2 linked regions of the Astyanax mexicanus genome follow. The protein of the gene in region 2 binds, or shares a complex with, the protein of the main gene of each other region. Links are inferred from orthologs where the notes say so. Each region holds a gene or a part of one and is shown on either strand. Other genes may lie near its edges.

Evidence for each region.
Region 1: the proteins of sv2a (region 2) and syt1a are in contact, whole or in part, in a crystal structure (PDB 4V11), measured with the Homo sapiens proteins. The link is inferred for Astyanax mexicanus from reciprocal best matches to the Homo sapiens genes SV2A and SYT1. Residues at the interface, in NP_001315603.1 of Homo sapiens: Asp82, Thr84, Glu85, Gly86, His87, Asp88; in NP_001129277.1 of Homo sapiens: Thr291, Lys314, Lys326, Lys327, Lys328, Glu342, Ser343, Phe344, Ser345.

Annotation. Positions count from the first base shown.
Region 1 is NC_064409.1:25,631,863-25,647,863, forward strand, and holds the start of syt1a (synaptotagmin-1a), read right to left. Parts: upstream 7,958-16,001; 5' UTR 7,889-7,957; intron 1-7,888. UniProt on the Homo sapiens protein: Calcium sensor that participates in triggering neurotransmitter release at the synapse. May have a regulatory role in the membrane interactions during trafficking of synaptic vesicles at the active zone of the synapse.
Region 2 is NC_064408.1:115,430,479-115,445,709, reverse strand, and holds the start of sv2a (synaptic vesicle glycoprotein 2A), read right to left. Parts: upstream 8,003-15,231; 5' UTR 7,769-8,002; intron 7,100-7,768; exon of another isoform or gene 6,844-7,099; intron 1-6,843. UniProt on the Homo sapiens protein: Plays a role in the control of regulated secretion in neural and endocrine cells, enhancing selectively low-frequency neurotransmission.

The sequences.
Region 1 (16,001 bases), on a different chromosome or scaffold from region 2:
CTATCGTACGCTATCGTACTCTCCATCACTCTGTAAATAAACTCGCCGCTGAGGGTCGGACACTGTAACACACAGACACAGCAGCGCTATCAGCTCCCAGACTCACCGAGACTTACACTGTGATCATAAACACACTCACAGACACAGCAGATCATTATTCACAAAACAGCAGAACTGCTTTATCTTATACCTAATCAATAAATTAATGCATTTATTGCTTTATTCTAAAGCCTAGCTTATGTTACTTAGTCTGAGGTGGGTTTCTTACTATTTATTTGTATGTAGAAATTCCTAGAAGTGTTTACTGACCACACCTATATAAAATACTGATAGAAATAGTGAATAAATGGCAGGTTTAAGTTCATTTTTACTTTCCAGTTACATACATTATATTTAATAAAGCATTCAGCTTAATTCAGTATCAGCTTATTTAATTTATTGCCTCTTCACATACTGTCTATATTCCAGCATAAAGAGCTGTACAGGGCTAGGATATTAACATTACCTGAGCTAACTTAGCCTTAGCCTTAGCCAAAAGAATGGTTGTATTTTATTTTATTTAGTCAAATACTTGCTTGATCACTTATCTTCCTAATCCAGTTTCTTGGCTCCTAACCTGACCATATTCTGGATCTTAGAAAAATATCAGCAGAAAACAGAAGCACAGCAGCAAAAGCTAAAGACACTGAGTGGGAACAAGCACATCCAGTACCTAATGCACTAAATTATGCCTGAATTAGCCCAGATCCAGATCTTCTGGTTCAGGACATCTGTACTATAGACACAGTAAAAAAGATCCATGTCTGTCTAGTTTTGGTTTAATTTATTTTAAAAATGACAAAAACTATTCCAAAAATATAATACGACATACAGTATAATAGTAACAATAATTGTAATAGCTTGTTTTTAATTTTGTTAGAATTTCATGACGAATGTACCACAATAAATGCTTGACTTCATAGTGAAGAAAGCTTCTTTACAGAATTAGTATATTTCCTCCACATTGGAGGGTTTTCAGAAATAAACTGCACTTTTAAGGTCATGCCACAGCATCTCAAAAGAATTCAGGTCAGGACTTTGACCAGGCCACTCCTAGTCTTCACTTTGTTTTTCTTCAGCTATTCAGAGGTGGACTTGCTGGTGTGTTTTGGATCATTGTCCTGCTGCAACACCTAAGCTCGTTTCAGCTTGAAGTCACGAACAGATGGTCTTCCAGGTCCTGAAGCAGCAGAACAGCCCCAGACTATCACACTACCACCACCATGTTTTACTGTAGGTATGAACTTTTTTCTTTTTTGAAATGCTGTGAATTTGCCATTTTTGTCCAGTCTATTTCTTATATTGGCATCATGAACACTGACCTTAACTGAGGCAAGTTCTTCTGCAGTTCTTTGAATGTTGTTGGGTCGGTTGTGACCTCTTGGATGAGTCGTTGCTGTGCTCTTGGGGTAATTTTGGTTGGCAGGCCACTCCTGGGAAGGGTCACCTGTGTTCCATGTTTTCTCCATTTGTGGATAATGGTTCTCACTTTGGTTTGCCTTTAGCCTTAAGCCTTTAGAAATGGCTTTATAACCTTTTCCAGACTGTTTCTCATTTGTTTTTGAATTTCTTTGGATATTGGCAAGTCTTGCTTTTGAGTATCTTTTTGTGGACTTTGCTTTGTCCTGCAGGTCTTAATTAAGTGATTTCTTGGTTAAGAACAGGCGTGGCAGTAATCAGACCTTGGTGTGGCTAGAGAAACTAAACTCAGGTGTGATAAACCACAGTTATGTTTTAACACTTTGCCTTGTAGGTTTGGATTTTCTGCTCCCTTAATAATAAAAACCTTCATTTAAAAACTGCATTTTGTGTTTACTTGTGTTTTTTATCAGTCTGAAACATTTCAGAGTGACAAACATAAAAAAATTTCACACCACTGTATATAGATCTGATTTTTTTTATGTGTAAATGTATGGTGTTTGTTATTAGTGACATACATTATCACAGGTGTTTCCAACCTACGTCAGTGGCTGCCATAGGGACTGACTCTGACATCATTCTATAATTCATTAATACATTTCCTACAAACCCCGGGAGGCCTGTTTATAAATAGTCTTGTTTAAAGTGAAGCCTTTAATCACTAAACATTTTCAGTTTAAAACAGCTAATATGATAGACAATTTTACATGACACCACTTCAGCCATGTCTAATGCAAAGATAATGTGGGAGATATAAATTAAATATTAATACCAGATAAAAATTTAGAAATTGCAGTTACCCAATGTATAGAAATTGCAAACGTGATACTAAATAAAATATTACTACTACGACCACTGAATTATGAAAGCACTGCAATTATTTTTTTTTTTTTTTTTGGTCGAAACCAAACAAAAATAGGATTTTTTTACAAGTTTGTATCAATTTTTCTATATTTTCCACTGTTAAATAGATTAAATAGCATATATCTATTCGTATTGCTTTCAAACAAATACAAAATAACAAAGCAACAATTTAAATATTTGTATTAAACATTGAGCATTTTGTACTTTGTCATTTCAAAAGAATAAGTTCCTTTCAGTAAATTGACCAATATTCATAACATATCTATTTTAACTTGAATTTCACAGAAAATATAAATACTATTTCTTGCATATAAACATCTGAATAATCCAATAACACAATCAGCAAGTATACAGCACATACTCTCAGAGTGTGACCTTGGCATTCTCTCCACAGCCTCACTACCACATCATCTGTTCAACTACATTTCCCATGAGGCCTGGCTGCTCATCATATTTATGACCTGCAGCTCCGAACTCCAGTAATGTTCCTCCAGTACAGATTGTTTATCTCCATCACCGGGCTGAAGGTCTGAACTCCAGCTGTGGTTCTTTATCTTGATGAAAATCTCTACTCTCAGACTTTATCAGAAACCCCTCTCTTATATACAGTTAGAGACGGACGTTCAGCTGATTATGCACAGTGTGTGTGTAAACTGTTCTGTAGTTCTTCAGCAGGGGTCAGACTCTGAACTCAGAACTGTTTGTGTTTAGATACTTTTGGATGGTGGTCATACTCTTAGCCACTGATTGTATACATGATATAATGATATATACAACCAATAAAATCATTGGTGGATGAGCAGAACCAATGATGACATATAGATGTTATATATATGTACATACAGTATGTATTCATTTATATCTATACATATGATACAGAAATTTGGGGATGAGCTGGAGGGGCGCTGAACCACTGACTGTACAGCATATAGAAAATATAGGCTAAATCATATATACAGCCATTGTGGGTGGAGCTAAGCCACTAAATGCATACATGATATATATGATGTATACACTCATAGGGAGCTAAACAGCTGAGTGTGCTGTAGATCAAACAAATGATCTGTACAGTCTGTATGAACAGGAGATAAACTGCTGACTGTATATATGATATACAGGGTCATTACAGTCACTGGGGGAGTAGCTACACTGCAAACTGCACGTACGTTTTATATATTCTATATGTTCTATATATTTATATAAAGTCACTGGACAGATCTGAACCCACAGACGGTATTTGTAAAAAATGATCTGTACAGTCTATAACGGGAGGTCATAACCCACTGACTGTATGTAGGTAGAAGACTCTGAACTGCAGACCATGTATAGAATATATACCTATGTATATGTAATTTATATATAACATATATTTAGTTAACTTGTTGCATCTCCACACTTTCTGAAGGCTGCAGAAAAAAGCAGAAGTACGGAAACATACGCATCGAGGCAGCAGAAGGGTTTTGTTTACTGCCAGTTGCCCTCGGCACCCCAGCCCATCTCCTCTCATTAATGGATATTTAACAAGCCTAATAAAAGATGACGTTGCCCCTGGCAGCAGCGGGGGGGCGTTAGTTATTCGGGTCCAAACATCTGCCACCTCAAACCGGCCAAACAGGTCCAGCCTGGGCCGGCCGGCACCGAGAACTATTCTCAGAGGAGAGTTTCACACCTGATGCTTTATCAGACAACACACTCATCATCCTCAAATCTCAGCAAATCTCCCAGCAACCCCCAGAAAACACTGAACTCTAATTAACAACCAGGCTCAGCATGACTTACACCCACCACATGCAAAATATACAGTGTATATATATTTTTCATTAGTCAACACTATAGAAATAAAAATAGTAGTTAGCATTCAGCTTGTATAACAATACCATATTTATTGCACTATAAGGCACACTTTATATCCTTTAATTTTCCCCAAGATCATCCTGACTGGTTGTAAAGAGCAGTAAAGCAACTCCACTATACTTAATTTTACAGGACTTTCAGTTTAGTTCTCCAGCAGCATTAGCATTAGCTGCTAACCACGCTAAGCATTAGCTCTTTTACCGTTCAGAGGTGAGTATTATCAGCCTGTAGCTTGCATTTTACTGTGTTAAAACAAGCTACGTGGAATGCACCACTAGCTAATATAGCCCTGGATTACCGGAACACTCAGGGTTTCTCAGTGTAGCTCTGTTGGGTGAAATTAGCCGCTAACCTAATGCTAATGCTAATGCTGCTGCACCCAGCCTTAGTGGAAATCTGTGAACTGCTGAACTAGAAACGAAACACTGCGACATGTATTAATAGTGCACCTTATGATCTAGTTTACCTTATAGTGCAAAATATATGGTATATATGGGTAGTATAGTATATGAATCTTGAGTATAGTATCTTGGGTAGAACTCTCTCAAACTATCCACTGTATATTCAACATGGCACCTCATGGCAAAGAACTCTGAGAATGTCAGAAACAGAATTGTTGCTCTCCACCTTAACTGTCAAACAGCACAGTACCCAAGTACATACAGTCTTTCATTAGGGTGGATATATTATTATTATTATTATTATTATTATTATTATTATTATTATATATTAATAACCCACTAAACATAGGTATTGTGATATTGTGAACGGTGAAGCTAAATGCTAAATAGGAGTTTTTACAGTGGTTAATATGCTCTGATGCACATGATTAACTTGGCTTTGGCCCGATCACCATGGTGTGGTTTAGCGGGCATCACTGTGCTTATTCTAAGTGCTAATGTATTCCAGAATTGGGTCTCTGCTGAAGGGCATAAGCTCAAAGTTCCAGCTGAGTGGTACCGACCCTCTGGACTAGCAGACCGGCCACTGACCACCAGCCATGAACAGATAGGGACCAATGACCACTGGACTGGCAGCTTGCCAGATCAGCTCAACAGACTCAAACACAGGCTTTGGCATACCATAACCATGATACATTGATCAGCCATAAGATTAAAACCACTTCCAGTTTAACAAAATAGCATTGATCCTGTAACAGTTTTGCATATATTAGGCAGCGAGTGAATAGTAAGTTCTTAAAGTTGACATGTTAAAGCAGAAAAAAAGCTTAAGAATCTGCAAGACTTTAACCAGAAACAAACTAATCTTCCAGTTCAGAACATAAAGAAGGTGTTGTTAACGGTATGCAGTGGTCAATACTAGCGGTGCATATTTCTCCCTCTACAGCCCATAATATCATTATACCATTTACGCAATCAGTGAGAGCACAAGCTGAACTCTAGTGATCTCCAATCCCTCAAGAACCATCATTCAACAATATCTGATAAAACCACATTAACCAGAGATTACTTTACTAACCTTTATCATTAACAAGCTCTACAATACAGAGTTACTATATTCACTAATACCACTCACAACTTTACTGTACAGAACACAAGCTCTACAATACAGAGATACTATATTCACTAATACCACTCACAACTTTACTGTACAGAATACAAGCTCTACAATACAGAGTTACTATATTCACTAATACCACTCACAACTTTACTGTACAGAATACAAGCTCTACAATACAGAGTTACTATATTCACTAACACCACTCACAACTTTACTGTACAGAACACAAGCTCTACAATACAGTTACTATATTCACTAATACCACTCACAACTTTACTGTACAGAACACAAGCTCTACAATACAGAGTTACTATATTCACTAATACCACTCACAACTTTACTGTACAGAACACAAGCTCTACAATACAGAGTTACTATATTCACTCATACCACTCACAACTTTACTGTACAGAACACAAGCTCTACAATACAGAGTTACTATATTCACTAATACCACTCACAACTTTACTGTACAGAACACAAGCTCTACAATACAGAGTTACTATATTCACTAATACCACTCACAACTTTACTGTACAGAACACAAGCTCTACAATACAGAGTTACTATATTCACTAATACCACTCACAACTTTACTGTACAGAACACAAGCTCTACAATACAGAGTTACTATATTCACTAATACCACTCACAACTTTACTATACAGAACACAAGCTCTACAATACAGAGTTACTATATTCACTAATACCACTCACAGCTTTACTGTACAGAACAGAAGCTCTACAATACAGAGTTACTATATTCACTAATACCACTCACAACTTTACTGTACAGAACACAAGCTCTACAATACAGAGTTATCTCCACCCAACAGAGCCTCAACCCACTACAGAGACCCTCCACTCACCATAGCTTCTTTACCTAGGCTTTTCATAGGCTTTACCCTCCAGAGTCTCCACCCACTCTTCAGAGCCTCCATCTGCCAAAGCCCCTACCCAATTTACAGAACATCCACCAACCTGAGCATCCACCTACTCTATAGAGGCTTTAATCTCCAGAGCCTCCACCCACTCTCAAGAGCCTCTATCCAATACACAGAGCCTCCTTCCACCGGAACCTCTACACGCCAGAGCCTCCATCTATAACAGAGAACCCATAAACCAGAGCCATCACCTGCTCTACAGAGCCTCCATTCACTACACAGAGCCTGCACCCACTACAGAGAGCATACAATCAACAGAGCTTCTACCTATTCTCTACCTTCTAAAGCTTACACCAGCACTACAAAGCATCTACACGCCAGAGCCTTCACCTGCTCTGCAGAGCCTCCACCTGCCTGAGCATCCACCCATCAGAGCCTCTACCCATCAAACCCACAACTTGCTCTACAATGCCTCCACCTGCCTGAGCCTGCCCCTAACTGAGCCCCTATTGATCAGAGCCTTAATCCACCATAGCCTCCACCCTCTCTACAGAAGCTCTACCTTCTAGAGCCTGCATCTACTCTAAAGAGCCTCCATCCCTACTCAATTTACAGAGCGTTCACCAACCTGAGCATTCCCCTACTCTATAGAGGCTTTCTCCTCCAGAGCCTCCACCCACTCTTCAGTGCCTCCACCTGTTTTACATACTGGGGGAACCCTCAGCACTCGGAGAACAGGTGGGATGTGATGGGTTACAGGTGTAAAGTGGAGGCAGGATGGATGAGCCGTGTCTTCAGAAGCTCAGGAAACCTTTGATCTTGTTTGCTTGTTTGAGATGTGTTCTGTTCACTTATATATACCTCAAATTCACATTGTTAACATGCATTTATATAACACCACTCATCCGACTTTAGAGATCACACCTCCTTTTTTTTAGTTTGTGTGCAATCCTCTCACACCTTTATATAGTATATATACACACATATACATACCCATACAGTATATATAAATATAAAGTATATACAAAGCAGTTCCAGTTCCAGTTCCACAGTTTAATATACAGCAGAAGAAGGAAACCCTGCTCAGCTCACACTGGCATCTCCATCGATACCACCAAGCTGCCATATATCTGAGTGTGCATCTGTGTGTGTGTGTGTGTGTGTGTGTGTGTGTGTGTGTGTGTGTGTGTGTGTGTGTGCCAGGGATGCCACCAATCAGTGTAAATGCCAAGGGTGTGTTGTGTCTGATCCAGTGCATCTCTGTCCAACCCAAAGCAGCAGAAACAGAACCAAGCTCGCTCGCCTACCTTCAGCTGCAGAGACGCTGTTGATCGCCCCGACCCGAAGGAGGATGTGGAGAGAGAGAGGGATGGAGGAGAGCAAGAGAGGGACGCAGAAGGAGGAGCCTTACCAGGGAGTGGTGGAGCGAGAGAAAGAGAGAGAGAGAGAGAGAGAGAGAGAGAGAGAGAGAGAGAGAGAGAGTAAGAGAGAGAGAGAGAGAAAGAGAGAGAGGCTGACGTTATTATCTGTGAAACCCACAGGGATGCTTGTGCCTGACAATGTGATCCCACTGATAGAGAGAGAGAGAAAGAGAGAGAGAAAAGAGAGAGTAAGAAAATTATTAAAAATCAGAAAAGAGACAAAGAGACAAAGTAGTACAACAATAAAAGAGAGATAAATGAGAAGAAAATAAAATAAAAAATAAGGATTAAGAAAGTGGGAAAATGAAAAAAGGAGAAAATAATAAGAAAAAAGGAAACAGAGACAGACAAGGACTGAGGCAAGAAGTGAAAGAAAAAGAAATTAAGAGAAAAAAAGAAATGAAAGAAAAAAAAAATATGAAATGAAAGAAGTAGTGAGAAATAAATAAGAGACAATATAGAAATGAGAGTGACCAATTGAAAAATTAGTGTAAAATTAAAGAGAGTCAGAACTGAAAGATTGGAGAGACAGGAATAAGAAATAAGAGAGAGAGAGAGAGAGTGATGAGAGAGAGAGAGAGAGAGAGAGAGAGAGTGATGAGAGGAGAGAAAAAGGAATGAAAGAAAAATTAAGGAGAAAGAAATTGTGTGAATGTTTGAAACAATGGGTAATGGGTAACAATAGAGAGTAAGAAAGAGATAGAGAGAAGATAAAAATGAGAACTAACATATTAAGAAAAATATGAAGAGAAACAGAGAAAGTAGGGAAAATAAAGAGAGATAAAGATAAAGAGAAAAAGAAGAGAGAGAGAGTTACTGTAATGAAGGGGATTTCTTGCCTGTTTAATTGTTAGCATCACTGCTCTCCCTCTCCCTCTCTGGCTCTCTCTCCCTGTTGGAATCCCCCCAATCAGAAGGACCAGGATGAAGTCCTTGGTTCTGATTGGATGCTCAGTCGTGATGAGAACGGCAACGGTTTTCACAGCTGAGATCAGCCCTCAGAGTGTGGAAATTAACACACACACACACATACACTCGGAGCACTGGGACAATGACGAGCAAGGACATCCCCTCGAGAGACATACAGTAAGTGTGTGTGTGTTAAAGGGGAACTTCACCAAATTTAAAATTCTCCACATAGTTTTATAATAACAAAGTGAACATAGGGTTTGTTATGGAACGCTTGGTTCTAGATAATCATCCCCTGTTAGAACAGTTCACTATAATGGTGAATGGAAGCAGACAGATGAAGCTCTAAAACAGCTCCTAACAGCAACAAATGGCAGAAAATAGTCAGTAAAAAAAACAGTATTCGCTCAGATGATGCACATTTTACCAAAAACATTCCATATAAAACTAAGAACAAGCCAAAGTTATAGAAAAGAAACTATTGTCATGTCCTGTGATTTTTAACATGTTCAATGCAAGCTAAAAAAACATTGCTCTGGCACGTGGGATATGTGGACCTCAATATTAAACCTTACTCCAACTCCCATAATTCACCTGCACCCACTATCAGACCACACTCCAACTCCCATAATTCACCTGCACCCACTATCAGACCTCACTCCAACTCCCATAATTCACCTGCACCCACTATCAGACCACACTCCAACTCCCATAATTCACCTGCTCCCACTATCAGACCTCACTCCAACTCCCATAATTCACCTGCTCCCACTATCAGACCTCACTCCAACTCCCATAATTCACCTGCACCCACTATCAGACCTCACTACAAATCCCATAATTCACCTGCACCCACTATCAGACCTCACTACAAATCCCATAATTCACCTGCACCCACTATCAGACCTCACTCTAACTGCCATAATTCACCTGCACCCACTATCAGACCTCACTCCAACTCCCATAATTAATCAGCACCCAATATCAGACCTCACTCCAACTCCCATAATTCACCTGCACCCACTATCAGACCTCACTCCAACTCCCATAATTCACCTGCACCCACTATCAGACCTCATTCCAACTCCCATAATTCACCTGCACCCACTATCAGACCTCACTCCAACTCCCATAATTCACCTGCACTTGCTATCAGACCTCACTCCAACTCCCATAATTCACCTGCACTTGCTATAAGACCTCACAACAGGTGTTTATATGCATTCCCACTTCACAATCTAGTTCCTGTACAAATGACTGTCCCGTTACTTTTGGCATGTGTTCTATGATTTCTAAACTGCTAAAAAGCTTATTTCTACAGTAATTCACTGTTTTTGATGCAGCATGCGTATTGACATATTCAGCCTACAGCTGTTTAGTTCCACCCACTCACACTGAAGACAAGCATAGTGTTTTGGTTCCAGCAAAAGTCACCAAAAGTTTCACAGACTGCTGACACAAATGTGCAAATGCACACACACAGCTTGTTTAGCCTCTGTCATTGAAACTTGTTGCCAATACAATAGGACTCTCTGGAGATAAATGTTTAAATATGAAGATTTTGGCACCATGCTTAATATCAGGTGTAGTTCAGAGGGGTGGAGTTCCATTCAGTACTTTTGGCCATATATTGTAAAATAAAATAGGGGTATGGTGTAATGTACAAGCCCTGGCCTGCCACTTCACACACACACACAGAGACACACACACAATCTCTGAGAGATTGTGATTTCCCAGGAGAGCTCCATCAATAGCAGCCATGTGATTGTGTGTGTGTGTGTGTGTGTGTTCTGGCAAGGGCATGTACTAATTAAAGAGATGAATTCAGAGGCTAAGTTGACCTCTAGTCTGGAAGGAGGATTCTAACGGACCCGCTATTATTCCGACCCGAGTTCATTAATACTGAACCAGCCTGCAGACAGTCCAAACACACACACACACACACACCAGTCATGCATAATATTATGACTGCCTGATGTGTTAGCGTGTGTTGTCTGGGTATGAGTGGATCAGATACAGCAGTGCTGCTAGAGGTTTTAAACAATGTGTTAAATCACTCACTCTTTTACACACTCCTACCTACAGCTGCTTCACCTTTTAGATAAAATAAAGACACAGACAGAAGTTTGTGTTGCTCATTCTCAAGTTTTTCATCAGTTCCCACAGGATGCTACCCACACAATGCCACCCACAGGACATTGCCCACAGTACACAGTACTGCTGTATTTTTGTTCCATTTGTGTCAGCACAACACACACTAACACCTTATGCATCAGGGTCCTGAGCATTAGGGAACAGGGTGGTTAATAATTGACAAGAGGTTAATAATAAGGTATGGACAGAAATAGATACAGGACTACAGTCTGTAATTATGGTGGCCAGTAGGTGTTTCCAATAACTTGGCCATATAGTAAGTGGAAGAACAATGTAACGTAGGTGTCTTGCAATAAAGTGACCATGTAGTGAGTGAAGACACTAGGTTGAGTAGGTGTTTCCAGTAAAATGGCCAGTAAGTGTAAGCAGGAATGTGAAGGTTGTGAAGCGAGGCCTGTATCCAGATAACAGCACAGCCGAGAGTTTCTAATGTATTGAACGTTAACTTTGGGGTGTCTGTAATGTGGCATTACCACACTGCCAAGCGGGTTCATTGGGTATAAACACACTCCAGTGTTTGCGCAGTGTTTTGAATGTTTTCTTGCAGTGTGTGTGTGTGTGTGTGTGTGTGTGTTTTGAGTTCCTGAGGACAGTCGTTGCAGACGCTGTGCAGCAAATGATCCTTTTCACAGCCGGAGCTGCCAACCAAGTACCAACTCGCTGGCAGTAAATGTAATTTGATGAGAGCAATGACTTTCTCCACTGCCACACACACACACACACACACCTGAACCTGCAGACCCTGCAGTTTTATGCATAATAAACAGAAGCTGCATGCTGCCGTGTGCCCGCTGAGGTGCCACCCTTCTGGAATCAGTTCCATAAGCTGACTTTGCGCATATGTCCACCCTTATAGAGGGTATACTATAGAGGGTGCCATACTGATAAATAATATACAGTATATAATATACACTGAACTGTCTGATAAGGTCGTCTGCTCTTTGATCTTCCCTTGACTCATCAGATGTTACATTTCACACATTTGATGTAACTTTGATAAGAAGTTCAAAGACAAAACTTCAAAGGGACACTTCTAAGCTTTCATGACAAAGCTAACAGTAGGAAGACTCATCTTAAAGGCATAGTTACCCAGGATATTCAGAGATGTTCAGTGATGTTAGCCAATAAGAAGTCAGTGTTAGTGATGTCAACCGATCAGTACTCATTATCAGTTATGTCAGCCAATCATTTCTCAGTATCAGTGATGTCAGCACATCAGTTCTTAGTATAAGTGATGTCAATCAATCAGAGCTCAGTATCAGTGATATGAAGCAGTTCACTGTATCAGTGATGTCAGCCAATCAGTTCTCTTTATCAATGATGTCAGCCAATCAGTTCTTAGTATCAGTAATGTCAGACAATCAGTACCTAGTATCAGTGAAATCAGCCAATCAGATCTCAGTATCAGTGATGTCAGCCAATCAGCACCCAGTATTAGTGATATCAGCCAATGGGTTCTCAGAGTTATTGATGTCAGCCAATCAGTTCTTAGTATCAGCAATATCAGCCAACCAGTTCTCAGTATCAGTGATTTGAGCCAATCAGCACTCAGTATTAGTGATGTCAGCCAATCAGCACTCAGTATTAGTGATGTCAGCCAATGGGTTCTCAAAGTTAGTGATGTCAGCCAATCAGCACTCAGTATTAGCGATGTCAGACAATCAGTACATAGTATCAGTGAAATCATCCAATCAGATCTCAGTATCAGTAATGTAATCCATTCAGTAATCGATATCACTGATGTGAGCCAATCAGCGCTCAGTATCAGTGATGTCAGCCAATGGGTTCTTAGTTTTAATGATGCCAGCCAATCAGTACTCACTGCAAGTGATATGATCCAGAATGATCTAGTATTCAGTGTCAGTGATGTGAGCCAATCAGCGTTCAGTATCAGGGATGTCAGCGAATCAGTACTCATTATCAGTGATGTCAGTCAATCAAAGCTCAGTATTAAGGTTTTCAGCAAATCAGTGAACAGTTCTCAGTACCAGTGATGTGAGCCAATCAGCGCTCAGTATCAGTGATATCAGCGAATCAGTACTCAGTATCAGTGACGCAGTCAATCAAAGCTCAGTATTAAGGATGTCAGCCAATCAGTGAACAGTTCTCAGTATCAGTGATGTCAGCCAATCAATGACCAGTTCTCAGTATCAGTGATGTCAGCCAATCAGTGACCAGTTCTTAGTATCAGTGATGTCAGCCAATCAGAACTCAGTATCAGTGATGTTAGTCAATTAAAGCTCAGTATTTATGATGTCAACCAATCAGTGGCCAGTTCTCAGCATCAGTGACGTCAGCCAATTGGTAACCAGTTCTTAGTATCAGTGATCTCAGTGAATCAGTGACCAGTTCTCAGTATCAGTGATGTCAGTCAATCAAATCTCAGTATTAATGATGTCAGCAAATCAGTACTTAGTGTCAGTAATATCAGCCAATCAGTACTCAGTAAAAAGTGTCATAATATAACCCCTAATTTAAGTAATTGCAATCAATCACCAGCCATTCTACTCACAGCCAATTAACATTCAGTGTTAATGTTAGCCAATCAGCACGTGATAATGCCAATCTGTTTCCAAGCAATCAGCACTCATTTGTAGTAATGCCAGCATTTACCATCCAGTAGTAATGCCAGCCAATCGGTGCTGAGTAGTAATGTCAACAAATCAGCATTGAGTAATAGTAAAACCATTCAGAACTCAGTATCAATGATGACAACAAGTCAGGAATTATTAACAATAATGCCAACCACTTAACTCTTAGTTAACAGTAGAGCACTAATGTCAGCCAATCAGTTCTCAGTAGCAGTAATGCCAATCAATTCACATTTAGTAGTCAATCAGCATTCAGTAACAGTGACGTCAGCCAGTCAGCACGCAGTAGTGATGCCAGCCAATCAACTCTCAGCCATGGAAATGCCAATCAATTCTGTAATAATGCCAGCTAATCAGCATGCATTAGTATCTAGTACTCATTATCATTGACATCAGCAAATCAAGACTTAGTTTCAAGGATGTCAGCCAATCAGCATTCAGTAACAGTATCTCCAGTCACTGTGGTCTTGCTGTTGGTATAATGTATGGAACAGGAAGGTGTAAGACTGGGTCTGGTCATTTATTCCACCATGCTAACGGCTATGCTAATAGCCTTCCACTGCTTGTTAGCTGCATTAGCCTCGTATCTCCAGGGCTAAAGCTAAATAAGTTGAACTCCAGACTGTGAGCACTTTCTGCCGGACAGTCTGCGGTCAGTACAGGTCAGTCTACAGTGCCGCTGCTGAGCTGAGAGCAGCCCAAATCTCTGAGCAGTGTCCAGTTTACAGCCTGAGGCCACGTTCAGCTTTACTGCACAGGGTGTGAGTGTGTTTATATCACTGTGTTTTGTGACTGCAGCATTTTAAAACCAGCCCTGCATTATTTTAGCTTCAATCACTTCCTGTAGCTGGATTACCTTAGGTCTACCCATAGACACTCATCAGGAGCTCTAATTGGATGCTGTCAGAGGACCATAAGCATAATGTAGTATTATGAAAACAGTGTAATACTCCCCTAGCCCACACCTGGCATTAGGCATGGTGTCAATATTTCTATGTCTATTTATCTGCTCCAGAGAGTCCTACTCTATTGGCAATAAATTTCCACAAGTAGTAGACAAGCTGTATGTGTGCATTTGCCCATCTGTGTCAGCAATGGATGAAGCTCATGCAACCCACACCTAATACAGGTGTGAAAGGTGATGTGAACTATAGGGTGGGTCACAGATGCAAAATTAAACCAATCAAACATAGTGATCTCGGTCCAGATCAGTTGATCCAGGGTCTGAACATTTTTTTGGCAATTCTGATTTGAATCAGATCAACTACAGGAAGTTGAGTCAGGCTATCATCACCCATTAAACAATAGAAGAAAAAAAGAATAAGTGTTGTGCCAAAATCTGTCTTCTCTTCTCAGCACAACATTTGGTAAGGCAACTTGACAAACTGAAAACATGCAACAAACCAATCAGTGTTGATTATATGAAGACTCCACCCATGTAGGTAATGATAACAGGATGTAAAAATATGTTTCTGCTGGGTGAAACTGAACAAAACTAAACAAATTAAATACAGAACAAGATACAATGTAGCAAAAGCATGTAGCTTAGTTTAGGGCTTAGATTAACAGAGTTAGAGGCCTGCCAGTCTAATAGACTTGTTTATATGGTTCCTGACACTGTAACACTCTCTGATATCTAGAACATTATCTACATATCTATAAGGATTAAAGCATGAATGCAACCTTCAGGATGCCTACAAATACACTAACCAAGCTAACGATTTTTGTATAATAGAAAGTTAAAATTAACTTTCTAAGAATGTTAAATTTTTCAAGTTTTCTGGATGTTTTTATTCAACATTTTCAAATGTTCTGTTAACGTCATTTGCAATCAATGTTTTAATTTTTAGTTTTGTGAATGTGAACTTAATGTTTTCATAATGTAAGTACTTGTCAAGCTGAGAAACATTCTAATTGTTATATTGCAAACCATTATTGTGTCACATGTTTTCAGAATGTTCCTAAAACATTATTATTGTAGCGTTACAGAGTAACCTTCCTAAAACCCTTTTAAAATGTTGCCAAACATTCTCATAACGTTCTCTGTAAGCTGGGAAAACACTTTAGACCTGAGAAAGAGATTCAGTAGAGATGAAAGTGTGTGTGTGTGTGTGTCCTCTGAGGACAGAAGGTGTCCCAGCAGTTTTGGCTGGCTGGTTGTGTAGCTGCAGGTTGGGCTGAGCTGGCGGTCGGCGGGGGCACCAGCTGCACTCTCTCCACTGCCCTTCAAACCCTGCCATCCCTCTGACTCACAGCGCTGGCCAGCGTCCAGAACAGTATAAAAAACTGCTGCTCCAGGATTGGCCCGAAGCTCGACCCGACCTGAACCCAACTGGACAAACAGT
Region 2 (15,231 bases):
CGACTAATCACCAGTTTTGCCAGGTTTCTAATAGATGTTGGAGCTCTGCTGTGACAATTTGTCTGCATTCAGTGACAAAAGTGGTCAATTAGTGAGGTTATGATCATCCCCAACTTCCTCAACCAATGCCAATCATCATTCCAGAACACAGTTTTACTTTAGGGACATACAAAGATAAAGTATTTTGGTGTGTGCGTACACTGTGAACCTCTACCTCACTCTACCTTAATTACCTTTAGCAGAATGTCCTATTCTTTTGGCAGTACTTAACTACAGGGACTAGACTGGGTGCAGCAACCTAAAGCAGCTAAAACACTCAATTATTAGGGGTGTCTACTAATATTTGGACACATGTATTTGTTTGCTATTCCTCTAAAATAATGTATTTATTCCGAGCAGTCTAATTGAAACACAATGAGGCAATGTAGTACTTTCTGAAAACAAGATACCAAAGGATGCTCCATCTCAGTGTTTCCGTTTCCCTGGGCCCTCCCAGCAGACAGGACTTGTGTGTTCAGTGCTGATTCTATAGACTGCTGGATAAACACAGCCTAAAGGCTCGGATACACAAGGCTTTCTCCACAGCCTTTCATTTAGCAAACAGCCCAGGCTGAAACGTAGCAAAAGCCTCAGAGGGAAGGAACTGCCATCTTGTTAGCAGGTAGCACTAAACGCTACTGAACTTTCCCGTAGCTAGTTTGTTAACAGATCTGCTTAGGGTGACATATATGCATCTGTTTCTCTAAACCAGTTTTCACCTCCTCACAATTGTTTTCTGAGCCTGTGCAGAACGAGGACATTTCTGCAGTGTTCTCGTTTACAGGGACAGAACACACTCTGCCACTGACGCAGGAGACGTAAGGCACAGAGGCCACAGAGAAGCTCAATTCATCCACTGTATTTCATAGAGACCTTGAGTAAATGGCAGGGTGGAAATGGAAACCGGGTGAAAATGAGTGTGCTGTGAGAGGTGACGAGGTGAAGGAGGAGAACAGAGGAAGGAAAGGAAAGGCATGAAGAAAAGAGAGAACAAAGGTAGGATATTATAGAACAGAATAGAAAGAGGTAAATGAAAAAAACAATGAAAGAAAGCAAAAGCAAAAGAGAACCAACAGAATAAAACAGGAAAGAAAGGGTTGTGCAGATAACAAGACTAAAGAAAAAGGGAACAGGACAGGAAAATTAAAGAGAAGATAAGAGAAGAGGAAGGAGAAAAAGAGGGAAGACATGTGTGAAGAGAGAATTGAACATAACAGAAGAAAATAAAATATAAAAGGAGTGAAAAAAGATAACTGGTCAAGAGAGTAGAGGAAAGTAGAGATGAGAACAGAAAATTAGAGCAGAGAAAAGAAGATTTGAATAGAGAACATTAAGAAATAAAACAACGTAGAAAAAAAAGAAAATGGAAAAAAAGAGACCCTTGATAATTAAGAGAAGAGAATTAAGAGAAGATGAGAATTACGAAAAGAGAAGAGAAGATGGAGAGATACAAAAAATAAAAGAGATAAGAAATAAGAGGATATTATTTATAAGAAGAGAAGTGAAGAGAAGGAAATAAATGAGAAGAGAAGAGAAGAGAAGAGAAGAGAGGAGAAAAGAAGAAAAGGACATAATTGAAGAGAAGAGAAGGACATAAATGAGAAGAGAAGAGAAGGACATAATTGAAGAGAAGAGAAGGACATATTTGAGAACAGAAAAGAGGGACATAAGAGAAGAGAAGAGAAGAGAAGAGAAGAGAAGAAAAGATACATAATTGAAGAGAAGAGAAGAGATGAGGACATAATTGAAGAGAAGAAAAGGACATATTTGAGAACAGAAAAGAAGGACATAAGAGAAGAGAAGAGAAGAGAAGAGAAGAGAAGAGAAGAGAAGATTAGCCATTGTAACAAATCTGTGCAGTGCGCTGTCACCATGGACACACTGCGCTCCATCAGCTGTGCTCACCCATGATCCACACCGCATCCATTTTAGCCCCCGCCACCACCATACACAAGCACATGCTCAGAGCCCTTATCCTCTGCTAACAGCTCTTATTAATATGCTGAGCATCTCTGAGCTATACTGTATGGGCTGGGATTATGTAAGGCATTTAGTCTTCATAGTGAGAGAATAGATACACATTTAAAACACACCTCCAGGGACCCTTTAACCCTGGATCTGTGGAACACTGACAACCAGTTTTCCTGTCTGTTTCTGCTCTAGGTCTAATGAATCTTCTCATGTCTAATTTATATCTGGGGAGCTTTGGTAAGTCTAAACATATTTATAAAGATTTGGAATTCCTTTAAGCATGATTGTGAACATGTCATAACCCTAAATAACTAATCAAAATCTGAGATTCTGGGGGAAAATGATCTAAGAGTTTAAATTATATAATTTTTCTGAAATTGCACAAAACAGTTATGTTTTATTTTAACATGTTTCATTTTTAACATGTATTTCTGACTATTCACTCAACTATTAATTTGCATGCTACTTTATACAGTGACATGCCAAAACTAGTATGGTATCCCATCACTTTTGCCATGTCCAATGGAATCTGAAGAATTGCATTGAATGTGAATGCGATGTCTGACTGGAGTCACAAAATAACACCTCACAACTGCAGGTGGGGATGTTCTCAACCTATCCCCTAAGATAACACTTCATGATCAATTTACCTACTAACCCATGACTTCCGGCACATCTGTGAACTAGCAATGTGCTGTTAACATCCAAATAAAGTAATATAAACCTAAGACCTAAAAACACTTGACAGACAACAAGAACTAAATTCATTCATACAGACTTAAAATAAGGTCTGCTTTTATACACTAGGGGGGCAGTGGATATTGCCCATGGGAACAGAAGTATTTCCCCTGCAGAAGAGCTTCCTTCCACTTCTCCACTGCAGGGATTATGAAAGAGAGATTATGATGCTGCTACACCCAGCCTTCCTTGACAGCCATACTGCAGTTCCTGGACGTAAAATTATTCCTGATACCTTTAAACTGAAGCTAACCAGACTATACTTTATATATAACACTGCCAAATCACATGCTTTAGCATCTCTGAAATAACTTGGTGGGAATGTGGACAAAATATTTTTTTAAACAATAATGTACATTAATATATCAAGATATAATTACAGGCAATGACTGCAAAACAAATAAACAGTAGTGGCAATGGCAATACTGAAGCCACCACAGGTCTAACGCCTCTGCTAGCTGGTTGTACCCATCCCCATATGCTTTATTGAAAAAACAGCCACTATTCCATCCAACTGTTCATCTCTTAACAGTCTCTCCAGTGTCAGATACTTCCAACAATTACTTTTCCTTGTGATAATATGAGCACATTTCTATATGACCGGGAGAAACGGAAGGGCCTGAATTGCACTCTTTCTGTTCATTGCATGGAGTAGCTGAGAGGTAGTGGAACTTCAATGATCTGCACTTTAAACCTGTGTTCACGCTGGCAGGTGACAAGTCACTTGTGTCGCCCCACGTTTGTCTCTTTTGGGTGTGTTTGAGGCTGTTGCAAGTGGGCGGGTATCTGCATGGCCGGTTAGAATGCTAGCAATCTACCTTTCGACCCATACACTACTTTCTTCCAAGCTTCTGTATTTGTGGAAAAATGCATCTCTGAGCATCTTGAATATCAGGATTATCCCTGGATACGGCCAAGACACATAAATATGCAAGTGTAAACACACCCAAGATGCATTTAAAACATACAAATATACAAATTCGATCACTCAAACCACTTAAGACATTTGAGCCAAGTTATAGAAGTGTATCCACAAACATATCTTCAAGACGCATTCAACAACAGTAACACCAGCAATAATTGATGCACAATTTCCATTGCACATAGCAATCAGATTTTAATTAAATTAACTGGAAGCTTATGTGACTGCCAAGTGTTAAAGCATATATTTTAAATCTTATCAGGATACAATCCATATGCTAGTCACATGAAGTGAATAGGTGTAACATGGTCATTGATTCCAAATGTTCCTAACTTTATTTTAAAGACCAATATTGAACTGGCTTGCTCTCCTAGTAAGACATATACCACAAGCTTATTGATAAAGTGGCATGCAATGGTGGTAAAATCAAACCACAATATGACTTACATTGCCCTTTTAGTAGATAATCAATTTTTATTAAATTACAGCAGAATCAGACCTGTAATTCTTTTATAATGTTACTGTTTCTTGTTCTAGCTGCGTGGCCTATGTGGCCCATTCAATAGATTTTATCCTCCACCTCCACTGCACACACACTCTCACCTCTCCAAACGCAGTGGCAAGTCATGACTTGGTCAGTACAGAAATAGCTCCACCAATGGGTGGCTGGAAGCAAGATCATGTGACATGTGGACCCCAGCCGGGAAGACCAATGAACTCATTAAAGCGAATTCTACCTGCGAGAACCTTGCCTTCTACCATAATTCCTTGCTTCATTATCGTTTCTCCGAGGGGTCCTATCAAGGTTACAAAGCCAAGAGCACAGCAGCACAGAGAAAGTACACAACAAGCCTTGAATAAGAGCTTGGGCTAAAAATACATCCCAAAATGAGACTCAGAGGAGCAGAAAAGCAAAGACAGGTAGATGAACTCATGATGAACTTACAGAGAACAGCTATCAGGAGAGCCCTTTAAAATCTGTCGCTAAAAGCCTATTAGATCAATGTTTGGAACAAGTGTTCAGTTTAAACACCTGTAATCTGATTCAGAATTTGCTTTTGGGAATAAGTGTTCACTTAGAAACTGGCTTAGGAACACAGAAAAAACATTAATTTTATGATTAGACACGAGAATATATAATCCAACTATACACACACTTTATGAAAAAAACATGCATAGTAGGCCTGTCAAATGAATTACATTACTTTATCATTTAAAAATATATAATATCATAAAATGACAATAATATTCGTTACTGCAATTATTTCTATTTAAAAAATGATTATCAAGACAGGCCTAATTCATAGCCTTATATATTGTGGGGCGGTGGAATTTTCAACCGTAGCTTATCATCACGATGACAGGCTATTCATCAAACCCACCAGTCCATTACTCCCACACAGAATTTTTTTCAATCTGACAAAGCAAAAACCCAAAAGAGCATCACCTACTCCATTTACGAATTGTGGCCATATTCAGGCAAAGCACTTTATATCATATTTTTTTCAGTTTCAAGGTTCTACTGTTCAACAATTCTGTGCTGGGTCCTTTATATCCCTCTATCCCATGCCTAGCATTTTTGTTTAATGTGACAAAGCATAAACTCAAAAAACATCACCTACTCACTTTTGACATATTTTTCAAGGTTCAAGGTTTCAAAGTCCTAAGATTTCCACAGTTCTATGCACTGTATATTTGTTTAATCAGACTGGTTTCAAGGTTCTAATTTTTCACAGCTCAAAGCTGGTGGTATTTATACCCCTCTTTACCCCTCAATCCCATGACTAGCATTTTTGGTCAATCTGACATGTAAAAAAAATGTAAAAAAAAAAAAAAAAAAAGCATCTCCATCTCCATCCACAACTCTGCTCTGCAAAAAAATCCAGCACAAGACCAGGTGGTCATCCAAAAAGAAGATATCCTATGCTAGTAGGCTAGCTTATTAACAAGCTCTTGACCAGCATAGGGTATTTTTTAATTTCTAGATGACCAATTGTTTTTATGCTGGACTGTTTAGCAGTGAAATCATGACTGTACCCTGGCAAACCTTTTCAAGTCATGTCTTTCACTTTCAAGGTTGATAGAAATGGAAAATACAGCATTTTGTCTGAGAAACCCCCATCCAGTCTGGTTTAATTGGATGACTGGACAATGCAAAAACCCAAAAGCATCACCTACTACATTAACAAATGATGACTTTCTGCGGGCAAACCTCTTTATGACATATTTTTCTGTTTCAGGGTTCTACTGTTCCACAATTCCATGTTGGTGGCCTATATTCCCCTCTATACCGTTATAGCATTTTTGGTCAATCTCACAAATGTAAAAACCTCAAAAGCATCACCTTCTCCATCCACAACCCTGCTCTACTAAAAATCCATCTCAAGACCAAGTGGTCATCCTCCACAAGGAACATACCCTATGCTGATTAACTGGTTCTTGACCAGCATAGAATATGTTTTTTTTTTGGATGACCATGCTGCTCATAAAAACCCTCAAACCATGAATTTCTCCAGACAAACGCCTTTATGTCATATTTTTCTGTTTTAGGGTTCCACTGGTTCATAATTCTATGTTGGGGGCCTTTATGGTATTTTTGTTCAATCTGAAAAACGTAAAAACCCCAAATGCATCACCCTCTCCATCCACAACTTTGCTCTGCAAAAAATAAATAAATCTAGCTCAAAACCAGGTGGTCATCCACAAAGAACATAAATTAGCTCTTGACCAGCATAGGGAATGATCTTTTTCTGGATGGCCAGCTTTTCTTAAACAAGGTTAGCAGGGATTGTTTAGCAGGGAAATCATGCCTGTGTCCAAGCAAACCTCTTTATGCCACGGCTTTCAGTTTAAAGGTTAATATATATTGATGTAACAGAGCAAAAATGTCCAAAATCATCATCTATTCACACTTGCTAGCTCATTAACTAGCATTTGGTCTGAGAAACCCCCCATCCAGTCTGGTTATAACCACAGGTTGCCATCCTTTAGCCTACGTTTGCTGCAAGGTCATTTTGATGCCTAACATCACAACAGGCGTATTATCGACCCATTTTCTCAGTGTATTCACCAAACAGCCTTAATAATCAACCCACACATGTATAAATATGGCTAGCTACCTCTCTACCTCATTAATTTCGCAGTGAGACCCTTCTTAAGCTAGCTAACCTCACCTCACTCTCTAGGATCGGCAGACTGGAAGGTGAAGGGGCGAGGCTAAGGCTAACGGTGCTCCTCACTGAACGCTCGATGAAATAACCGATTAATTAGGAGGAGATTCCGTTTTTTCATCACTTTGCGTCAGGAAACCGTGTACTCTCGGCTGATGGATAGGATACGCTGGGTTTTAATCGGTTTTAAGGCGAAAACTGCGCATTTTTCGCTCAGAAATCAACGGAGAGCTGCTGAGAGACCAACCGTCATCTCTCAGAAATTTGAATGGCTGAGATGCTGCACGCGACGCGTGACTGCACTGATTTTTTAATATATATATATATTTTTTTATTTTATTATTTTTATACGTACATTATAGGTTAAAACATAGTAAAACCTTCAAATCTGAAGTGCGAAAATATTAATAATATTTTATAAATTATTTCGAGACGTGTAACATGATTTGGACAGGTGTGAAAATATGCTAATTATGTTTTTTTTAAGTATAATTTTTAGTATTTTACTTTTATATTGTTTTATTTCTGCATTTTATAGGTCATCATGCTAGTATAAATTATTATATTAAACAATGCCCATGAGTAAAAAGATTTTATCAGCTACCTTAATTTTTTTAAATATCTTTGTTTTTTTTTTGTTTAATAATGAACATAAGAGGTAATAAATAAACGTTAACATGCACATAAATATGTATACATTTTTCAAAAAATATATATAACGTTATTCTCATTATATCTACCATGACATCTTTTTTGACAGGTGTGAAAATGAGTATGTGCTAAAAATGAAATTATTATTTTTTATATATTTATATTTTTACAACGCACCAGGTTAGCTAAAATAAAATGCATTCACCAAGCTGTTCCACTAAATCAGCTAAAATACAACGTTACTCATAATAAAAAATGATTAATCATTTCCACTTACCTTTATTATAGCTAATTGGCTGCTCGTGGTAACTGTTAGATCCCCTCAATCGTCGTCAATCTCCCTGTTTGGGTTGTTTTAACAGCAAAAAAAAAAATAATATACACGCTATTTTAAATGTTTTTCGTGATGATGAGGGTGATCTGTCTGGCTGCTTCAGTGTATCCCTAGAAGAGGAGAGCTGTGTGTGTGTGTATGTATATGTGTGTGTGTATGGAGGGTGCTGCCCTACTACACCGCGCACTTCTTGGAGTATCTCCCCCCGCATCTCTCACGCAGGACTGTTCCATTCACATGGAGGGGGTGCTCATAAATCATATATTCGCTTAATGTACATTTTGTAATGAATTATACAAAACAAATATGAGTAATTGAACTTAAATAAGCATATATTTGTATATATTTAAAGTGTGGTTCCTAAATGGATCAAGAAAATTATATTTCTTTCCTGTACATAGGGGCTGTCATACCCGCTGGGAAGGTACCAACAGCTATATTTCTCATATAAATGAAGGTCGTATTCTGCACATATGTACCAAGTAAGGACGTAAAAAGGGGGGAGTGGGAGTGCACGTGCGCACACTCGTGCCCATATTTCAGTGGTGGAGACCATCGGAGACCACTGGGGAATTTTTTTCGTCACGCTTTCATTTTTTTTTTTTTTTTATGATGATGATGATGAGGATGATGATGCTGATGATGATGATGCACAAATAAGCGCCCATCCAAATTTAACAGCCATTCAGTAACATGTTTTTCATAATTGAATGAAAATATGTGAACATTTGAACATGTATATATATATATATATATATATATATATATATATATATATATATATATATATATATATATATTTATATGTACACATGCATTGTGTCACAGCTGCATTTCAGCTGCACTGTTGAAATGGCAGCTGAAATCAATATATCTAGCATGGATGTGGTAGAGATGGATCAAGTATCACTAGGGTGGGTGCAGGTTTTGGGGGGTAGAGAGTTATATGTCAATATGGGACACAGGTTGCCTTGTACAACAAAGCAAGTCATTTATTTAATTTCTCATTAAAATGAAGGCGAGTTAGGTTTTTTGTTTTATATTTTTGTCTTCGAATAATCTAGCCAAACAATTGAGTAATTTCTGTAATAATAAAAAAGATGTTCAATTTGATTTTCTAAGCTTGGTCTAATAAAAAAAAAAAAATTTTTTGTATTTATGCAAGAAAATACAGCTTACAAAGCTAAATTGTTCCATTTGGCTTTTGTTTCAATCACCCCAGCTAACAATTCTTTGGTAGAACAACATCTGAAAATTGTAGTTAGTGTTTTTAGAAGATTCATTCTGTTAAGTTTTCTGGATGTACCCTATCTAACATTCTAACATTGCTGCAACATTTCTTGTGTCAGTCTTTTAATTTTTTGTTTTACTGTAATGTTAGTCTAGCTGGGAACATTATGTGAGAAACGTTTTAATTACACTGTGATGCAAACCATTATTATACTACACATTTTTAGATCATTCTGGTACATTATTTCTGTAAGGTTACAGGCTAATCTTTCTGGTACCTTTTCAAAACATTGCCAAATGATATTTTTTTTCGTTTTCTGATAGCTGTGACCCTATCGTCTTTTGGACATTTGGAATGCATCAATTGTTTTTGGACATCCCTTCTAATGATTGTCTTCAGAATTGTCTGCATTTGAAAAAAAAATCACAATCATTACTACCCACTGCACTGTGCACTGTGGGTGGTAATGTCTTCAAGGACGTATTAACGGTACATGCGACACATGGTAATGTAGATTGAGGAATTATAAGTGTCCTCACAACTTTGAAAATGAAATATACATGTAATGCATCTGTCGCCATGCCATGAGCACATTGACCCTTGATCAGCCTCACTCACGAGATAACACCACACAACTTATAAGTGCTATACAAGCAATTTTATGCAATTGTGCTAGTTTAACTGTCAGTTGAATTAAAGCAATGGCAACAAGCTAAGCATCACTGATATAGAGTGATTTCAGGTATTGCAGGTAATTCTTTAACAGTACAGTTTCTGTTTATTCATTCTTCCTTTAAATAAAACTGTATTTTTGTCTGAAGATAAAAAATGAAGGTTTGCTTGCACAGTTGTAATTCTAGCTGAAATGCATCCAGCTTGTATTGAACAGTGGTGGTTTCAGGTGTTATGAAGCCTGGGTTCATAGAAGACAGTGTGTGGGGTAATATGGGTAAACGGGCTATAGGCTCTACAGTATATGACAAAGCCATTTCCTTTTGCCCATTTGGACAGAATTCACTGTTATATCAGTACTGTGTATGAGTTTAAGGCACCAGTGAAAATGAGATGACATTTCAACATGTCTGAAATGCACTACACACCATAAAACCAGACCTTTAGGACGTGTGATAGCAAACCATTGTTTATGGCACTGATCATGGAGAATCCACACACACACACACATTCTGCTTTAAACATGAACATACTGCTTGCAAAAACAGAAACCACGTTATGTTTGTATTTCCTATTCTACTAACCAAGTTAAATGAGGTGTGAGGTTTTTACATTACCTTTTGCATTGAATTAAACGTTATGAACTGGTTTTTACAAGCATATTATTTTTAAATTGACCAAAAGACAAGTAATAAGAGGTTTTTAAATGTTTAATAATATTTTTTGTCATGTAGGTTAAAGTGTGTTTCATGCTGACTTATTAGACACTGTCCTGTATGACCCCATGTCCCTAATACATTTACATTTATAAAATTATTTGGCCAATGTAGTGTTAGGAGTCTTGCCCAAGGACTCTTATTGGTGTATCAGAGCATTTAGTCAACCAGACTGGGAACTGAACCCCTGTCTCCCACATGACGTGGTAGCTCATAATCCACTTATCCACCAGTTATCCACTGCACCACACCAACCACCAACCACCACACAGTATATGAACAAAGGTATTGGGACGTATGCTCATTCATTTAATTCGTTTCTATTGAAATCAAGCGTATTAAATCGTTTATCTTGGGGTAACTGTTTCTACTGTCCAGAGAAGGCTTTCTAACAGTTTTTGGAACATAACTGTGAGGATTTGATTGTATTCAGTGATGAGAACTTGAAAAGATATGAAAAGAGAATATTAGATAATCACCACCCCATATCATCCATAAATCCTCAACTTATCCTATTCAAAATATTGGCTGGCCTTCATTCCAGAGAACACAGTTCCACTCAGTTCCCCACCCCACCCCCCACCACCACCACCACCTTTAACTAGTCCACCATTGGTTGGCATTAGACATGGTGCTAGTAGGTTAATGCTTATTATCTGCTCCTTTCAGAGAATACTATTCTATTGGCTGCGTGTAGCTGAACGCTGCAATCCTTACAAGGGGTGTCCACAAACATGTGGACACATAGTGTAGCATTCACCTTTTCAATGGCTCTTCTGCAATAAAAGACAGAGGATCCCCCATTGATATCAGTAGCTGTTTGTTGCTAAGGGAGCCGAGCACAGTCTTTATTAAGGCACACAGTAAAGGCACAGCAGGTGAGACCTGTGGCCAGCGCTGGATATTTCAGCTGCAGTGGCTCTGATCCGACTCGCCGGGGTAATTCAGTGCTTAGCAACAGGCTGTGTGATGATGTGACCGGATTGTCAAATAAGGATTGCCTTATGCATGTTGCTGCTACACGACACAGCTGAGGTGTGAATGTGGTGACGCTTGTCGCTTTTTAGGGAAACTCACAAACGATTCACCTATACTGAGTTATTACATCACAACTCATGAGTCATGTCAGTAAACCACGGGTAATCTAGTTAAAATGCACAGATGCAAATATACAGACATAGCCTTTTAGCTGTGCATCTGTTAAGCTTACATACTCTGCAAGAAACCGATTTTTTTGCTCAGATCAGATTTGGCTATCTTGACGGTTCACATTCACAAATGTAAGTGATCTGTATCTGTGTGTAATGTTAATAAATCTGTCCCTGAAACGTCTCATGTGCACAACTCGTAGCTTTATAAAGGTGCAATGAATGTGTTAGCAGCTCATATGTGGAGCATATTTTAATCGAATGTAGAGAAAACTGCTGGTCTGAAGTACATGTTCAGGTCGAGGAGGTGAAAAAAGTCTTTTGCTGTTTTTGCAGCTATAGCTGCACAGCTGCACCAAGAGATGTGTTGTGGGTACGAGAGAGAAGCACTTAGCGCATGCGTAAAAGCAAAAAGACGCATGAATTCTGATTTGACCGTTCACATTCATGTCGCATGTCCATAGATCGGATACGTATCTGATTTAGGACCACATATGAAAGTGACTCAAATCTGATTTGAAAAAATCTGATTTGGCACGTTCACACAGCCATGAAAAAATCTAATCTGAGCCACACTGAGCAAAAAATCTGATTTGAGTCACTTCAATATATTTTTCTTTGGAATTTGGGAGAAATGTTGTCCGTATAATTTGTTTATTTTACTTAAACATATACCTATAAATTGCAGTTTTTCTAGAGCTGTATATATAATAAATATATAGTACATATACAGTATCTCCAACAACTGTATCTCAAATGAGTCTTGGTTCTTCCAAGAGAGTTTTTCCTTGCCACTGTTGTCACCACAATAATTGGCATCTCTGTGTTGCTGCTAATAAGCGGTGTGGACATGTTTTTCTCTGTAAAGCTGCTTTGTGACAACTACTGTTGTAAATAGCGCTATATGTAAAATTGAATTGAATTTAAACAACCTTAAAAAGCAACACCTTAACCACAGGACCTTTAAGACTGAATCTGTTTAATCCACAGGGACAAAATGTCCACATAAAAAGTGGATCAAAGTAATATTACTAAATAAGATTAAACTGAATAAAATCAGGGCCAGCAATCAAAGGTCAGCCAGGTGCAGTTCCAGGGAAGAACAGTAGGTGGTGTGAGAAGCTAAATAAAGAGAGAGTGATTGATTCAGTAATAGAACTGCCTCCACACTGAGCTATATCTCTTCTCTACAGGCCACTGTCTTTATTCTGCTGCTCTGCTTCAGTCCATTACTTCACAACAAGTAGGAGGAGTAATAGCCTCCTCAGCGACTGAAGTCCTGCCCAGCTGTATCCTCACAACACAGCAGCACAGGGTTAAAGTTCAACAGGCCTTCAGCAGCCTGTTAAACCTGTTACTTCAAAGAAATCAGGTTAACTGGAAGTTTCGAGGAGGAAAGGCCAAAAATAGCCAGCCAAAAATATTACTGCAATCACATAATGACTCAAGAACAAAGTAATAGGAGCTATTAAAACCAAGCGAGGAGGAGGAAAAGAGGACCGAGTTCCCTGTAGAGCTTCCATTAAAATTATTATACCCAGTATGTCTCAGCACAGGAACCGTCTTTATCATTTCACGCTCTTCTTCTTCCTTTTTTTAGTCTAAAATTAAAGTCTAAAGCTCCAAAATTAGATGTGTGAGCAACAGCTGAGGCAGTGAACACAGCAGAGTTAAGCAGAAGTAAATGTGAAAGACTAAAGTGAAGTATGCAAAGTACAGTCTAGAATCTTAGAGTTAGTTTTACTATTTAGACTGAAAAAGTCTAAATAGTCTTGTCCCATGACTTGTGACATGTCCCATGGAAGCTAAAGGACACTGCACTGACCTATAAGGTATGTGTTTGTGGTTTCCTGCATTGAATGTTGATGTGATTTCTGCCAAAATTGTTTGTTTGTTTACATGGACAACTTTTTGCCAGAAGCCACCAGTCATGATCACTTCCATCAGCCGCCCTGTGTACGCAGGATTGCCTAGTATAATACGTCAGTTGGCCCAAGCCACCCAATCCACATGTGACAACACTCTGGTTGCCAAGCATAATATGTCAGTTAGCCTGTGATACTTTTGCCAACACTCCTGTTACTGAGTATAAAATGTTGCATGTTCCAACACCCCGATTACTGAGCATAATATGGGATTCAATCTGAGTTGCATGTTTCAACACTCTGGTTGCTGAGTACAGTATGGGAATTGGTCAGAGTATCATGTTCCAACACTCTGGTTGCTGGGTATAATATGTCAATTAGCCCGAGCCTTATGTTCGAACACTCTGGTTGCTGACTATGGTATGGGAACTGCCCAAAGGCTCATATTCCAACACCCCGGTTACTGAGTATAATATGGGATTCAGCCTGATTTACATGTTCCAACAACCCTCATGCTCCAACACTCTGGTTGCCAAGTACAGTATGGGAATCGGCCCGAGTCTCATGTTCCATCACTCCGGTTGCCAAGTATAATATATCAGTTGGCCGAGCTGCATGTTCCAACACTGAGTATAGTACGGGAATCGGCCTGAGTCTCATGTTCCAACACTCTGGTTGCCAAGTACAGTATGGGAATTGGCCCAAGTCTCATTTTCCAACTGTCCGGTTGCCGAGGACAATATGTCAGTTGGCCCGAACTGCGTCTTCCAACACTCCGGTTGCTGATTATAGTATGGGAATCGGCCCAAGTTTCATATTCCAATACTCCGGTTGCTGAGTATAGTATGTCACTAGGCCTGAGCTGCATGTTTCAACACTCTGGTTGCCAAGTATTGTATAGGAAACGGCCAAAGTCTTAAGTTCCAGCACTCCAGTTGTGGAGTATGTCAGCTGGCCCTAGCCTCAGGTTAACAAGTACAACATGGAAATTGGCCCAATTCTCATGTTCCATCTCTCAGGTTGCCGAGTACAGTATGGAAATCGACCCGAGTCTCATATTCCAACACTCCAGTTGTGGAGTATGTCAGCTGGCCCTAGCCTCATGTTCCAACACACTGGTTGCCAAGTACAATATAGGAATTGGCCCAAGTCTTAGGTTCCAACACACTGGTTGCCAAATAGATTATGGGAATTGGCCCAAGCCCCATGTTCCAACACTCCGGTTGCCAAGTACAGTATGGGAACTGGCCCAAGGCTCATGTTTCAACACTCCAGTTGCCGAGTATAATGTCAGTTTGCCAAAGCTGCAGATGTCAACTCTCTAGTTGTAGTGTATAAAGCACATTCAGACCAATTCCACATGGCGTAAAAGTCTACATAAAGTATTTTATTGAGGTTTTGGGCCCCCAGAACAGAACAGCCACACTTCCCCCTTATTATCGAAGGGTCAAGCACTTAGACCTGGACTGCTCTCTTGGTAGATGCTACACATGAACTCATCAGTTGCTTGTGGAGAAGAAAGGTGACCAGATCAGTTTTACCTCCTCCCTCTAGAGCAGTGAAAGATCTGAACAGATGTGCATTTCTCTTCTATAACATCTCTCTCAGAGTAGCTGTGGACAAACTGTTCTTGCTGACAGTCTAATCACGTTCTGCACTGATGTTCTCATTCAGTCAAGGAACAGCTCCTCTTCTGTTTTTCCTCAGATCTGAGCATGCTCTCTGTCTGCAGGCGTTTCAACACAATCTCCAGAGCTGTTTAGTACAGATCTAC